2 linked regions of the Lonchura striata genome follow. The protein of the gene in region 1 interacts with the protein of each later gene in a biochemical or structural test. Links are inferred from orthologs where the notes say so. Each region holds a gene or a part of one and is shown in the gene's direction. Other genes may lie near its edges. The genes, in order: EYA2 and homeobox protein SIX1.

Evidence for each region.
Region 2: the proteins of EYA2 (region 1) and homeobox protein SIX1 form a complex in vitro, tested with the Homo sapiens proteins (2 studies listed by IntAct, with this or other methods). The link is inferred for Lonchura striata from reciprocal best matches to the Homo sapiens genes EYA2 and SIX1.

What each region holds. Positions count from the first base shown.
Region 1 is NC_134619.1:8,725,289-8,733,102, reverse strand, and holds the start of EYA2 (protein phosphatase EYA2), read left to right. Parts: upstream 1-4,666; 5' UTR 4,667-4,683; coding exon 4,684-4,748; intron 4,749-7,814. UniProt on the Homo sapiens protein: Functions both as protein phosphatase and as transcriptional coactivator for SIX1, and probably also for SIX2, SIX4 and SIX5.
Region 2 is NC_134608.1:5,722,197-5,729,595, reverse strand, and holds homeobox protein SIX1, read left to right. Parts: upstream 1-4,382; 5' UTR 4,383-4,530; coding exon 4,531-5,090; intron 5,091-6,129; coding exon 6,130-6,418; 3' UTR 6,419-6,708; downstream 6,709-7,399. UniProt on the Homo sapiens protein: Transcription factor that is involved in the regulation of cell proliferation, apoptosis and embryonic development. Plays an important role in the development of several organs, including kidney, muscle and inner ear.

The sequences.
Region 1 (7,814 bases):
AAACAGGCATATTTGATCATTTAGTGGTGAATAGATCAGGCACTCCTCAGTTGCAGGGTTTTATTTTTGTGCATTGTGTCAATGATTAGCAACCATATGTTTTAAGACCAGCTTCAATAGTATCAGTAGCTACAGTCCTGCTCTCAGATTACTTTTTACTGCCTGCCTAATTTTGAGCTTTAATAGCTAACATGCACTTTGTTTATCAGTTACAAATGTTCTGAATGTTGATGAAACAGGCTAAACAACACATATTGGCTTATCATCAATACCAAAGACTGAGAGAAATTTGTTAAATGCTGTGGCCTGAGAATTTGCAAGCAAGTTCTTAGAAATAAGAAGAATAATCTCAGCATTGATGGCTCTGGTTCTGAATGTGAGATGTTAGCACTCAGATCCTGACACAGCTCTTGTTGCCCACAGAAGAATCCATCCTACAAAGAGCAGAGCCTTTTGGCACCAAAAATGCAACCAAGTACAGCACTGCCCCCTTGGATGGCACAGTCCCATATGAAATGCTTTATTGCACTGGGAGCAGTCTGGTGGCATTTAAATTAAATATATTTAAAGTATTTCCAGAATCAGACCCTTGGTGTCTTGCAGGCCTGAGCACTAATATGTGAAATAGGTCATTTTTACATAATTCTGTTTATCTGTACAGCAAAGAAATTTAAAATAGTCTCTAGATTATGTTCTTTATTCTGTAATTACTTGAGGACAGAGTACCTCTCCTCTGTTTTTAAATTACTGCATAAATTAACAATGTTCTAACAATAACAGCAGCAGCAATTCAGGACATTTACCAGAGAGAAAGCAACCATTAGCCTTGAGAATGAAATTTCACTGGAATCCACAAAATATTGTGTTAGGAAATATGGTTGCCAACTTTCGCAATTTTGTTGAAAGTCTTCTAAAATGTGAGGGTTGGGGTGTTTGGGGTTTGTTTTTGTTTTTTTCCCCACAAAGCCTGTGTTCTGGCATCATGTGAAAACATGCAAATGTGAGATTCTCAGTTTTAATTTTAGAAGACAACTAAGTTACTCAGCATTGTGGTTGCAAACAGAAATTGAAAACATGAACTCAAGGACAAGAGAACAATTAGGAAGAGTCCAAAATGCATTATTTTAAAATTCTTACACTTTGTAAAGCGATTTCTGACTCAGGGTGTTTCTATCCTCTGGGTTAACCATATTCAGTACCCCAATAAATCCTCTGCATTCTTTTTGAGGATTTCTCACCTTGGTTTGTGACACAGGGTGACATTACATCTTAATTGTGAAGGAAGGTGATGAAGTTCAATGCTGGCTAATTGCTTGTTTTTAAAAACAGAAACAGTTGTTTGTACTCATGTATTTCTCTTCATTTTGACAATGAGGTCAACAGCAGAAACTGGTAGTATTTCCTCAAGGGAAATGTATTTCCATAGTAACTAAAATTTGGGATCTAGCTCTTCACCTTCTCCTCAGAGAGGCTGAGGTGCTCCCACCCTATGGCAGGGTCTGGCAGAAGACAGCTTCCCATGCTCCCTCAGGACAGGGATGTCTGCCTGCCCAGGTGCCAAAGGAGGACCATTATCTCTCAAATCTGTGCAGGACACTGGCACCCAGCCCAGTGATTCGGAGCATTTCCATTTGGTGACTGTGTGGAGCTTTCTGCACCGTTTCCATTTAGCCTTCAAGATACGTGGCAACGAGCAGAGAGTAACAAGTCAAGCAAACCACCTCCTAAACCTGCCTTGTTTTTTGATAAAAAAAGTTCTACTGGTCTGAGAAATCCTAGGCATTGTATGGCTGATGATGGCCCAGCTTGACAAAATAGAAGCTTTTATCAAGCCAACTAAAAGGACTTGTCTCTCACCTGGCAGCCTGTCTGACCCATGCACACCAACCCACAGTCCCACTGATGGGGTAGAAGCCATATTATTCCCTTGCCTTTCTAAATGGCTTTCAACATCTATAGGTATTTTCCTGGATACTAACAACAATGATGAAAATACTTAAAAACCTAAATGAAAAAATATCCTTTATCTTCCTCTTTGCTCACCCTTTTCCCACTGTGCCTTTATTACTTTTCTAAATATTGCATACAATGTTTTTGGTAAATAAGAAGGATATTAGTGTAGACAAATAATGTTTACTCACTAGCTCAAGAAAGGTGTTTCTGGCACTGATTCACAAGTTACTCACAACTTACAGAAATTATTTATACTGAAAGGGACAAGGAGTGTCTTTTTGTGTGCAGGTTGCTGAACAAACAATGAGGTCCTGGTCCCTGCCTGGCTTGCCGTGGCATTACCACAAACAATACTAATTCTTAAATACCTGCCTGACTTTAAGCACTTAGGTAAATAATTGTATTGATCGTTGTAAGCCTATTCACATGCATAAAACTAAGCATATATTCAAATATGTTGTGAAATCAGGGGTTGGGAGAATTTTGCAAACAAAGCATTTTTAGATATGAATTTACTTGTTAAAACCAGCTTCAAAAGGAGCTAATGTGGCAATCAGGCTTTTGGGCACGGCAGGTTGAGGAAGGAAAGGTTTTATTTTCAAGATGGATCCAAGGACTTTCTTGTACTTCAGAGAATTGTCACCAGAACCACAATTACAGGTGAGAAAGGCAGCAAGGAAACCCCCCCAGCCAGTGATTGCTCAGAGTTTAATGTGAGAGCAGTGTAAACTCAGAACTGCAGATAATCCATGGGGAAATCAGGGGGTTAGTGCTGAGAACTGATGGAGAATAACAACTGAAAGAGCTTTGGTTTTTCTAGGCTGGCGGGAGGTAGCTCATGCTAGGAAGCCTGCCAGCTCCAAACTGATGCTAGGAGCTTTGTCTCCTTTGGATTGTAGGAACACACTTTGCAGTCAAATTGATCTGAGAGATTTTGATAGTAAAAACAGCTGTCTCGTTGCAATGATGTTTTTGTTCCATTGTCAAAATTTTGAGTTAAATCCATGAGTGGGCTGCAGCTTGTTCAAACCCTGAACTCAACACCCTTTGTGCTCCTTTGGCTTTTCCACTGCGGTTCACGGGGTATCTCCTTCCTGAGGAAAGGGCTAGGTGTAATAAAAGCCGTCAGGACAAGGAATTGCAGGTCTCCCCCGATGCCTCTGCAGTACTGGAGAGACAGAACTGGAGGACTGCAGTCTGTCCCAGACTGGTGAGGAGGTGAAATAAGGAGGAAGAGCAGGGTGTGGAAATGAAACACTGCAATGCTGCTGTGGTCAGGCTGCATCCCCAGCGAGCAGGTATGCCGGCGGACGGGGGAAACTGTCTGGTACCAGAGCAGGGATGAGGCCAGTAGGAGCAAGGGGAAGCTGTTTGTGGGGTTACAGCACAAGGGGGATTCAGGGAAGGGGCACGCAGTGGAATGTCCCAGCTCCATCTTCCCAGCATAAACCATCTGAAGGTGCCTCCTGCCGCTCTCTTGGATGTGCAAAGAAGCAGATGAGGTGCCTGATTGAGGCATCCAGCACATCAGGCAGGAGCACAAGGGGCACTTGCCAGACTGCCTCTGTTTTTATGCTGATATGAGAGATGGGACAGCACCTCTGTACGGCCACAAATCCATTCTGTGTTGTTGGAGGTGATGGGAACTATGGGCAGGTTTTCGCCCTCTGGGGAGCCAGGAGCCGTGTGATGCTCTCTGAGTGCAGAAGGCGCCGTGTGTGAGTGATGCTGTGCCTGCAGGACCCATGGCTCTGTGGGGCTGTGCGTGTTAAGACAAAATAGACGTCAACAAAAGCCATTCCTTTTAAACTGATATTTAAAAATTGTCACTAGAAACCCTTAACACAAGGACTGTAGTGAAAGCGACTGTTTTCATGGAAACAGAGGCTACAGACAAGGTGGTATTCGCATGGTATTCAAGCGTCCAAGCGCTACGGAAAGAATTTTTTTCAAAAAGAAAGAAATTCAGCAGCTCGATGGAGGCTGATAGCACCAACATCAAACCATAGCCACGGGCGGGAGCAAGCGCGGCCGGCGCGTACCTGCCGCCGGTACGAGCGCTGCCCGGCCCGCGCCCGGGAGCAGCGGCTCCGCGCTGCCCGCGGCGCGGGTACCTCCGTGACAGTAGCGGGGGCTGCCGGGCGGCCCCGGGAGCGCGGGAGGCTCGGGCAGCTCCGTGACAGTAGCGGGGGCTGCCGGGCGGCCCCGGGAGCCGCGGGCAGCTCCGTGACAGTAGCGGGGGCTGCCGGGCGGCCCCGGGAGGCTCGGGCAGTTCCGTGACAGTAGCGGGGGCTGCCGGGCGGCCCCGGGAGCCGCGGGAGGCTCCTCCTCCGCCCGGCACCGCGGGCAGCGCGGCGCTGCGGGCGCCGGGACGCGCCGCGGCCCCAGGCGTGCGGTAGGTGCGCCCCGACGGCGGCGGCACGGGGGCAGCCCCGCGGCGCTGCGAGGGGCCGGCGGCGCCGGGGTCGGGCTGCCGCGGGGGGCGGAGGGCCGGGTGTGCCGGGCGTGCCGGGCGGGCAGCGGGGCACGGAGCCGAGGGCAAACCCCCCGCGCGGTGCGGCGGAGCGGCCGCGGCGCTGCGCTCCGCGCCCCGCGCAGCCCGCGGGCGGCTCCGGCGGGAGGCGCGGCGGGGAGGGGGCGGTGGGCGCGCCCGGGGCGCAGCGCGGGGCGCGGAGCCGCCGCCCCGCTCCGCTCCGCTCCCTTCCGCGGGCATGCGCGCCCGCCTCGCACATGCTCACTGCGCCGGCGGCGGGCGCGCACACTCCGCAGCGCCGCGGCTCCGCGCTGCACCGCCGGTGAGTGGGGAGGGGTGCTGCGCGCCCGCGGGGGCGGGTGCCCGGCGGGGCTCCGCGGGCGCGGGGCGGGGAGCGCGGAGCCCCGGAGCCCGGCGGGGCGGCTCCGGCGGAGCGCGGGCGCGGAGCGGCTCCGCGGCAGCGGCGGGTCCTGCGTGCGGAGCCGCGACCCAGAATTAGCGCAGGGAGTTAATTGCTGCGCAGCGCGCGGTTCGGTTTTACCGTCCAGCGAGCCCCGCTTATTAATGATTTTAATCGCTGAAGAGTGCGTTTAAATAAAATGCGCCACTGCGCTTTCCCGCGGCTGCTTCCTTGAGGAAAACTTGTATGTGATTTATGCAGTTCAAGTAAACTTTTCTGAGTGTTAAATTGTGCTTGAGCCCAGTGAACGGCCTCTGAAGGAAATTATTCATGGTATACAGCTACTGTTGTTCAGACATTTCAAATAATGATGTATTCTTTTGTATAAAGTTGTGATTGCTAAAACGCATGTAGTGAACCAATAAACAGTTTATTGGTCTATATCAAATACTAACAGAAATTTTGTTCAGCGCAATATCAAATACACGCATCCCTGAGCGCCGTTAAAAGCGGTGGCAGAAATGGTTTATTGTTTAGTCTCTCTTGTGGACTTTATTAATTTACTGAGAACTTCTGCTCTCTGCAATGCCATCCGTGGAAGGGTCCCCCTCTTTCTTCTCCCCCAGTTTATTGAGAAAGCATGTCTAAATTTCTTCATGCTAGTCCACGTCTGTGTGTATTAGGACAATCTGGTCCACAAAACATGGCACACATTTAAACTAGTAATTCTGTGTCTAAACTAATGCTGCTTAGATAGTTTCATACATTGAGCATTGCATTGTTTTGTTACTTGTTGCTTCAGACAGGATAAATTCTTTCTCATCTTTTTTTTTTTTTTTTTTTTTTTTTTTAATGTGTGGAAATTGTTTCCATTCCTTAATAAAACTGAATTTTTATTTCTGCTTTGAAAGCATTGGTTTGAAGGCATCAGATGTAACACAAGCAAGTAGGAAAGACTTGCAGTACAAATGCCTTGAAAATAAGGAGTACTTACAGCTTTGGAGACATTCCAGAAACTTTTTAAGCATGTTGTGAAAATTCACTTGATTGGTAGAGCAGCTGATAACTTGACTTAATTGTTCTAACTTAAAACCCTTAATTAAAAAAAAAAATAAAATCTAAATGTATGGTGTAAAATTGAATTGTGTAGTTACAGAGTCAAATTGTCCACGTAACTCTTTTGCCTCTTCTACTCACCCACCAACAGGTCAAAACATTTGGCTAAATAACAAGTTGTGTATGCTTTTGGTTTTACACTCATCAATTTGTTTTGCTTTACTTTGCTTAGCCCACTCCCCTCAGCTCATTTTCTTTTAAAATAGTACGTGGAGACTCGATTCCCATGACTCGCTAATCTTATCACCATTATTTGGTTGAAATTTCTGAAACGGGTTCCTGTTTCAAATACCTCACAACATTGGCAGCCTTAGGTTCCATTAGAAAAGCTTCATTAGGGAGAAATAAAAATGTTGTTGATAACTCCCCCTCCAACAATAAGCCTCATATTCAACTCCTCGGTGTGTGCGGATATGCCTTGAATTATAAAAAGGAATTAAACTCAGGTATTCACACAAGGAACTCGATCTCAGAATATCCCTTAAAGAGTCTCATGTGTTGCTGTGTTGCTATGCATAGCTGGTTAATATGCTTTTCTCTTTTTTTCCCCTGAAAATTTAATAATTTAGCAATTAATCCTGCAAATATTAGTCGCATGTTTAACTTCAAGCCTGCGAGGCATCGGGCTGGATTCTGCGTGGCTGTGTTTGTGTGTCAGTATGTATGTGTACACACTGCTGACAAAGAAAACAATTAAAGACGTTACTAATTTTCTGCTGTCTTCCCAACTGTTATTTATGATGTGTAGTAGTACAACAGCTATTCTGAAATCAGCTATAATTCTCTTTGGTAAGATTTGTTCCTCCTGTGCCAAATTTTGCAGTAACCAGATGGTCTTAAGGTGTCTTCAGCCGGAGAACAAGCATGAACAGCGCTAAAGACTAATTATTCCTCGCAGTAAATTCCTTCTGCAATAAATTCACAGGTTGTTAGACCTAATCTGTGGAAATGATTGTTAAGATTACTTATGCAGTGAAAAATGCTTTAATAAATCTGTGAAAACTAGCAGAAGTTCTTAGAATGCTAAGAAAATATTTTTGAGTTAACTTTGCCTGGCTGGGGTAACTTTTATTTGGGACAAACTGTTAAATGAAGTTACAAAGTCAAATCCTTTTCATAAGCCATAGAACGCTTCAGTTTTAATATGAAGATTTTAAATATGTCCTGTAAGTGGAGGGGTCATTTGGTAGACCATGTAGGGAAAGAAATCTCGTACTGCCGTTCTCAGTGTATAGTTTCATTGTACCTGTGTATTTTTCACAGCAGTAAGAATGTATATTTGATTAGTGCATGGAGGAGTTTCCTGGATAAACAATCATGTTATTTTCATTAAATTTCACATTGTATTGAACAGGACAGAAAAATAGAAACAAAACATATATTCAGAATTATAAACAATGGTATATACTAAAGTAAAGTTGTGCAGGCTTAAATACTTCCTCCTTTTTTGGTGGCTTAATTTAGTAAAAAAATACAAGTTTGGTTTTTTTAGTATATGTCTGTTAAAAAAAATGTAAGTACTCAAACCTCTTGGCATTTTGCTCGCTTTGATATGAATAGGGAGAACTTGTCAAATCTCTTTCCCTTCCTTTTCTGCTGAAAATCCTGGTTGGGACTGTTCATTAAGAGATCCCATCAGAAAACAATTGTTTCATGGCAGTCAAATTCTTAAAACAATACTTCATCTTTATTTGCAGATCTTAACTCAAGTAATGATGTTTAACAAACACCTTGTTTTAATCAGGTGAGGATAAGCCCTTCAATTAGGATGCAAATAATTGCTTGGTTGGGTCATTTGGGGCCTGGAGGTGCTGCCATTTGCAGGTAGATTTGGTGCTACCCAAGGTTTGAAGCAGGAGAGAGAAGAAATGA
Region 2 (7,399 bases), on another chromosome or scaffold:
ATTCATCAGAGACTCCAATTGCCATCGCATTAGGATTGATTAGAGACCAGCAGTACCGTAATGACCCGGAAAGCGGGGCATACGGGGATTATTAATATCAGACTTCTCAAAGGAAAAAAGAAAAAAAAAAAAGGAAAAAAAAAAAAAAAGAGGGAGAAAAAAAGAAAGGGAGGAAAAAACGGAGGAAAAGAAGGAAGAAGCAGGAGGGGAAATTTAAAAAACAAAAGCACATCGCAGGGCTGCTGCTTGGAGGCAGACTTACCTGAGAGCAGAGGCACTGGCAAGCCGCACGGACGAGAATTCATTTAACTTCTGGGAAACAAAAGCAAACAAACATGAAAAAAATCGCCTCCGAGTCCCCTGAAATCGCCTGCTCCCATGCACAGAGACTCCCAGCGCTGCGGCCAAGGGCTGGGCGGGCCACGGTTCGGGGGTCCCAACCGGGGACTCCCCCTCCGGGGCCAAAGGACCCCGGTCCCCGGGCTGGCGACAGCAAGGACAAGTTAAAGAGCCACCAAAGAGGAGCAAGGAGACCTCGGTGGCTCGTCTCCTTCTCGGTTCCCTACGCCAAAACAAATCTGCCCCTCCTGGTCTCGGTTTAAATGTAGCTCACTGGATAATTAACTCCATCTTTCCAGCCCTGCTTTAACTGTTTATTTAGTGTCACCCCGTATTACCATCACTAGCACTTTCCTCTGAACGGGAGGAGCTGGAGGGTTTCACCTCCCAAAAGGAAATTCTTCGTAGCTTAAAAGAATCAGCATCCAGGAGGTACATTAGCGAAGAGGGAAGGGGGGGGGGGGGGGGGACGACGGGATCTGGGGGTCCCATGGCAAAAGCAGGAGGAAATAAGGGTGGAGGTGCGGGGACAGGGACAGAAAGACGTATCGGCCCTCGAAGAGAAGAAAACAACGCGTGATCACCTCTAATCCTTTGAAAAATGTCCCGGTAAGTGCGCGAAGAAAGAGCCCTTTGTGCCCTGGGGATCGGCCACATCGGGAAGGCCTTATCCTCATCCTTATCCTGCCCCAGCATCCCGGCCCGGGCCGGCCCTCCTCCGGCAGCCCCGGCCCGGCCTGACCCCGCTGGGTGCGGGGGGACCCCCTGGCCGGGCAGCCCCGGGGCGCGGGGCCCGGGCAGGGACGCGGAGCGGCCCCGCGGACACCGGCTTTGTTTTTACAGGTGTCGGGAGGGTAATTTACTAACAAGTAATTAAAGGTCGCACCGGTTTGCAGGCGAGCCGGGCCAGAGGCTCCTGCAAGAGAAGAGCGGTGCATATGGAGAGGGGTTTGTTCTTCCTCATTAAAAAAATAGAATAATAAAGGAGGGAGGGGAGAGGGGGAGAAAGAAAATACAAATCCTTTATTGTTGGGGAATAAGCCGGGAAGCTGGCTGTCTCCCTGCGCCTCGCATTCGGCGAGGAAGGCGGCGCGGATCCGGTATCACGTTGCAGATCCTCACTCGAGATAACGAAATGCGATCTATTTTTCAGAACAGCAAGTGGATGGGAAAGGAGCCTCTACAACACAAACCTCATTGACTTAATGGGTCGGTTTTGGATTTCGCCTTCGAAATGTTCGGCGAGTGGCGGCGTTGTGTTTCTGCCCCGCCGGTTCCCAGCCTGCAGCCCGGTTCTCATCCCGACGAGAAGCGGCTCCCAAAAACCCGCTGCTGATTTTATTTTGTTGCGCTATTTGTTCCCTCTAGATTCTCGTACTTCTAGAGAAAAAAAATTAAATTTTACTTTTGACTGGGGAAGAGCTTTATTTCTAAGCTTGGAAGGAAATGGGGGATGTATTCGGTTTAGGTTTTTTCTGCTTTGTTTTGATTTTTCTGGCGAAATCGAGAAAAAGCCCGCAGCGTGTTGCGTGGGCTCCATCTTCATCCCCGCTTTGCTTTGTATAAATACATCGAATAAATAAGGGAATAAATGAATTTCCTGCACAAACAGAGCCGATGGGTGCCCGGGCAATGGGGGTGAGCAGCGGAGGCCCCCTCGTTCGGCCGCACCTCTCCGCGGGCGCGGAGAGCCAGGCCCCAGCGGCGGGGACAGCCCGGGCAGCTCCGGCCGGGCGGGGAGCGGGGGATGCTGCCGGGTGATGCTGCCGGGCTGCTCCTGCTCCGCCGGCAAAGGAAGCACCGAGAGGGACCGGCGGCAGCAGCTCTGTGCCGTCGTCTTGTTCGGTGGCGTTTTGCTTATTTGCATCTTCCTTGTTTATGTTTTTATTTTTTGAGCGGCTCGAAACTCTCTTTTGTGTTGTTGCTTTTGTGATTTTTCAAGGGTTAAATGGGATGGGGTGTTCTGGAAGTACATTTGCCTCTTTCCGTGGTTCAAAATGAAAGGTTCCTAATTTTTAGGAAAACCAACCCCGAATCCTTAACGAACATTGATGCTCAGTGGTCCTTGCCTACAGCAACTCTCAGGTAGACCCTGGCGGGTCTGTCCCCTCCTCATGTGAATTTTGATGAGAGGGAAGAATAAAGTTCCGCTCAAGAATCGCGAGAAAGGCTCCGCTCAGCCCTCGCCCGTGTCTGTCATCTCTTCTGCCGGCCACATCGGGATAATTTGCTTATTCCCAGCAAGAACAGTGTTTGTTTTGGGCGGCCTTTTACAGGAGGGAAAAAAAGAAAAAGAGAACAACTAAAAAAAGGAGAACTGTGAGGGCAAGAGAAGCCCGCTCTCGTTACAATGCCCAGGGGTTTCCCCAGTCCCGCGTTGCGTTTCTCTCCTCCTCATCCAGAAGTCACAAACCCTCAGGTCCGTGCTTTTCCCGAGCTGAGCCCCTCATTAGAAAGAAGAAAATAAAATTTAAAATTAATAACAATAGAAATAAGGGATGGGGGAACCGACCCCCAGGCTGGGCAAGGCGCTGCTCCTCCAGGACGTGGCCGCGGGCGAGCCGATGCCTCATAATTCTGCGCACTTGCTCCAGACTTTAGGGTATTAGTTGATTTTAGAGCCGGGTTTAAGGCTCCGTTCCGGTCCCCACACAGCTGCCTTGTCAATAAGGATCTGTTCCAAGTAGACATTCCTTCTGGGAGGACATTGCAGCTCTTTAAGACTTCATCTGCAACATCATAAGTACTAAAATAAAATGGCAAGGGAAAATTACCAGACACATGGTCATGGGATATGGAAGCGCCCTGACTCCAGCGGACATAGTACAGTCGCTGTACAGACAGGGTGGCAGGGGCTTAATTTAAACAGCACCGAGACGCGAAGTACGTGGGAAAAACAACAATCCGGATTTAGGAAAATATCGGCCTTTCCCACGTCGTGGCGCGGGCAGAGGCTGCGGGCAGGGAGCGCCGCCGGCTCCGCGCCCCGCGGCCGGGAGCGGCTCCTCTTCACTTGGAGCAGTGAACTCAAATAAATCCGACTTGGTAGGTCAAATAAATCCGACTGTCTTAGTGAGGACAAACAGGTTTTAAAGAGCCCCGCGATGGTTCTTAGCACCCGCGGAACGAACTCATTCCTGAATCCAAAGCGTTCTGGAGTGTGCTTAAAATATGGGCTTCGACTTATCTAATCAAAGATAAATACAGCCATAAAGACACTCCCAGCCCCCCGCGCCCTGCCCTTATCTCACCGCATTGTCCTCACCTCCCTGCTGACAATAGATTATCTTTGCTTAGGGAGCCTAATTGTTTTCTAATTTTTTAAATAATTGCTTTTGAGCGGGGGTGTGCAAATGAGGATTAGGCTAATTTAAAGCGCCGCCGGTGGGTGCAGCGCCGCTGCCCGCGATCCACACGGAGCTGCCCCGACCCGCCGGGCTCCCCCCGCGGCGAACGGGGCAGAGCGAGGGGCAGGAAGGGGCGCACGGGCCCCGCGCGTTATTCAGCGCTTCACCAAAGCATTATTTATTCATCCCCAGCTCGGAGGTAATTAAATACGGGCTGCCTAGGCAGGGGACGGCGAGCGGGCGGGCGGGGGGCAGGAGTTTTGGGGTGGAAAAAAAAAAGATGGAAGAAAGAAAGACAAGAGCCCGCCGGCAGCGGCTTCCCCGGAGATGCGCCCGGGGGCGCGGGCGGCGGGGCTCCCCCCGCGGCCGCCGGGGCCGCACCCGCGCAGAGGCGGCGGCGGGACGCGCAGCCGCGGCCGGGGCCGTGTCCGGGGCCGTGTCCCCGCCGCCAGGCCCCGCCCGCCCGTGCCGAGGCTCTGCCCGCCGGGCCGGGCTGGGCTGGGCTGGGCTGTCCGGGCTGGGCCGGGCCGGGCCGGGGGTGCCCAATCAGCGCGGCGCGGGGGCTCGGGCGCTTTAAGCGCGGCGGCGGCGGAGCGGGGACAAAGTCCCCCCGGCGCCGCGACGAGCATCCCCGCTCGCCCGGCACACCGCCCTCGCCTGCCGCAGCGCCTCCCCGCTCTGGGGCCGGCACCGGCACCGGGATCGGGATCAGCACCGGGCCCGGGCCCGGCGGGCGCCTACCCCCCGCCCCTCCGCCGCCGCGCTCCCGCGGGGTGCCCGTCGCCTCCTCCTCGTCCTCCTCCTCCTTCTCCTCGTCCTCCTGCGGCCGCCGCCGCGCTCGGCCATGTCGATGCTGCCGTCGTTTGGCTTCACGCAGGAGCAGGTCGCCTGCGTCTGCGAGGTGCTGCAGCAAGGGGGGAACCTGGAGAGGCTGGGCCGGTTCCTCTGGTCGCTGCCGGCCTGCGACCACCTGCACAAGAACGAGAGTGTCCTCAAGGCCAAGGCGGTGGTGGCCTTCCACCGCGGCAACTTCCGCGAGCTCTACAAGATCCTGGAGAGCCACCAGTTCTCCCCCCACAACCACCCCAAGCTGCAGCAGCTCTGGCTCAAGGCGCACTACGTGGAAGCCGAGAAGCTGCGGGGCAGACCCTTGGGCGCCGTCGGCAAATACCGCGTCCGCCGAAAATTCCCTTTGCCCCGCACCATCTGGGACGGCGAGGAAACCAGCTACTGCTTCAAGGAGAAATCCCGGGGCGTGCTGCGGGAATGGTACGCCCACAACCCCTACCCGTCCCCCCGGGAGAAGCGGGAGTTGGCGGAAGCCACCGGTCTCACCACCACCCAGGTCAGCAACTGGTTCAAGAACAGAAGGCAACGGGACCGAGCGGCGGAGGCGAAGGAAAGGTACGTGCCACCCTCCGTTCTCCGCTTTTCTCCCTGCTCCACCGTGCTGGGGGCGTTTGGGAACCCGGGAGCTACTCCGGGAACGCGGCGAGTACCCGGAGCCGGATGGGATAGGAGCGACGAAAACACACGGTTCCCTTCAAATCCACCCCCCTCCCTTTTTATTTTTTTTTTCCTTTTTTTTTTTTTTTTTTTTTTTTTTTTTTTTTTTTTTTTTTTTTTTTTTTCCCTCCTAAACCGCGTTGCGGTTCCCCCTTCCGTGGAAACCCAAATGGGTTTTTCACTCGACCTCACCTGCCCTGGGGGAGCAACGAGCTTCCACCGTCCTCTTCCAGGCCGCTCCGCCGCCTTTGTTTGCTGCCTGCCTCCTCGAGTAAACCGGGAGCGATGCGGACCCGGAGGCTCCGGGAAGCGGTCGGGATGCCGGGTCGCGTGTGGCCGCGGGTCGGGCAGGATAGCTCCGGAGCTCGGAGGAGAGAGATGCAGCTCCGGGATGGCGAGGTGGGGGGAAGCAGAGGGAGATCGGGATGAGGACGCGCCGGCCGGGCCGAGCCGCCGCCCCGTACCGAGGCCACCCCGGCAGGCGACGCGGTGGCCTCGGTGCGAGGCGGCCGCTCGGCCCGGCGAGGCAGAGAGCCACGGAGGGCATCTCCTTCAGCTGCCTCCCCACCGAGCCGCCTGGAGAAAACCCCGCACCCAGCTCGTCCGCGGGCCGTACTTTCATTTTTAATTAAAAAGAAAGGAAGACGGCCCCTCAAAAAAAAAAAAATCCCTTCCTCCAGTTTTCCCTCCTCACCTAAATTACCGGGCTGTTCAGTGTATTTATTTGTAGGAGGGATAAAAGGAATAGGGACGATCCGTTATGAATTTTTTTAGGATTATTTTTCTCCCCTTGAGAAGCATCTGCTCCCACGCTGGAACTAAAGGCGAAGGATTTACGGTGGGCATTAGCACAATGCCCATCCCCGCCGCCTCGTGCCCGCCCTAACATCCCCGTGGTGGGATTATATATACATTTTTTTTTTTTTGCCTTTCCCAGAGAGAACACGGAAAACAACAACGCGGCCACCAACAAACCGAACCAACTCTCGCCTCTGGATGGAAGCAAACCCCTCATGTCCAGCTCCGAGGAAGAGTTTTCTCCTCCCCAAAGCCCGGATCAGAACTCGGTCCTGCTCTTGCAGGGGAACCTCAGCCACGCCAGGAGCTCCGGCTATTCCCTGAGCGGCTTAGCCGCATCCCAGACCCCGCACAGCCTCCAAGGCCACCAGCTCCAGGACTCGCTGCTGGGACCCCTCACGTCCAGCCTGGTGGATCTGGGATCCTAAAGGCCCTCGGCGGGCCGCCGGAGGATCGGGAGAGGAGGAGGTTCTGCTCGGGGACAGAGGCTCTGGGTTGTACATAGAGGACAGCACCCGGTTTTACAGGTCACCCGCTGATTGTTAACGGGACTCTCGTCTCTTTTCACACAACCCCACATCGGCTCTTGCTCCAGTTCCCCCTCAGCGTCTCCCACTATCACCACGATTTTTTAATTATTTTTTTTTCCACGTAGCCAAACACAGAGAGCGGCAATAACCCTCATCAGCCCTTCGAGTTCAAACGAGTTGGTCCCAACGGGAATTAAACAAAAAAAAAAAAAAAAAGTAAAAGAAAATGTAAAAGGGGAAAAAAAAAAAAAAAAAGAAAATGAAACCCCAACCCCTGCTGGATCCGATTCCATTCAAACAAATCCCAGCGCCGTGGGCGCGGTGGGGCAGGGTCGGCCGGCACATCCCTGCTGCTGCCTGGCCCGGTCCCCGAGGATCTGGGAAAGGGACAGAGAGAGAGAATCACTGTACTGAGCCCTGTGGCAGAGTGGGAGGAGGGAGGGGAAGTTACGTTTACATTTTTCATACTTAGCCTTACCAAAAAGATTTCGATGTAGTTTAAACTTAAAAAAAAAAAAAAAAAAAAAAAGAAAAAAAAAGAGTGGGAAAAAAATATATCAAAAGCTGCAGTATTAGAGTTTTACCAAGTGCCTGTGTCTGACCGCGGCCGTGCGAGGCAGATACTGAGTGGGCTCCCGTGGACCCGCGTCCCCCACTTTTCTCGTCTTTGGTGGTGAAATGCATCGATGTGGCTAAAAATTAGGATAATAATAGTAATAATAAAAGTCGACGGCCATTTCCTCCTAAACCGCCAGTTCCCCTTTGCCTTCTCCCGTCTGTGCCCGCTCGCCGCCTCCCTCCTCCGGCTTGCAGAGAGCCCGCGGATGACGCTGCCTGTCTCGAGTATTTGTTACCAAAAATCGCATGTGCTTTCGGGTT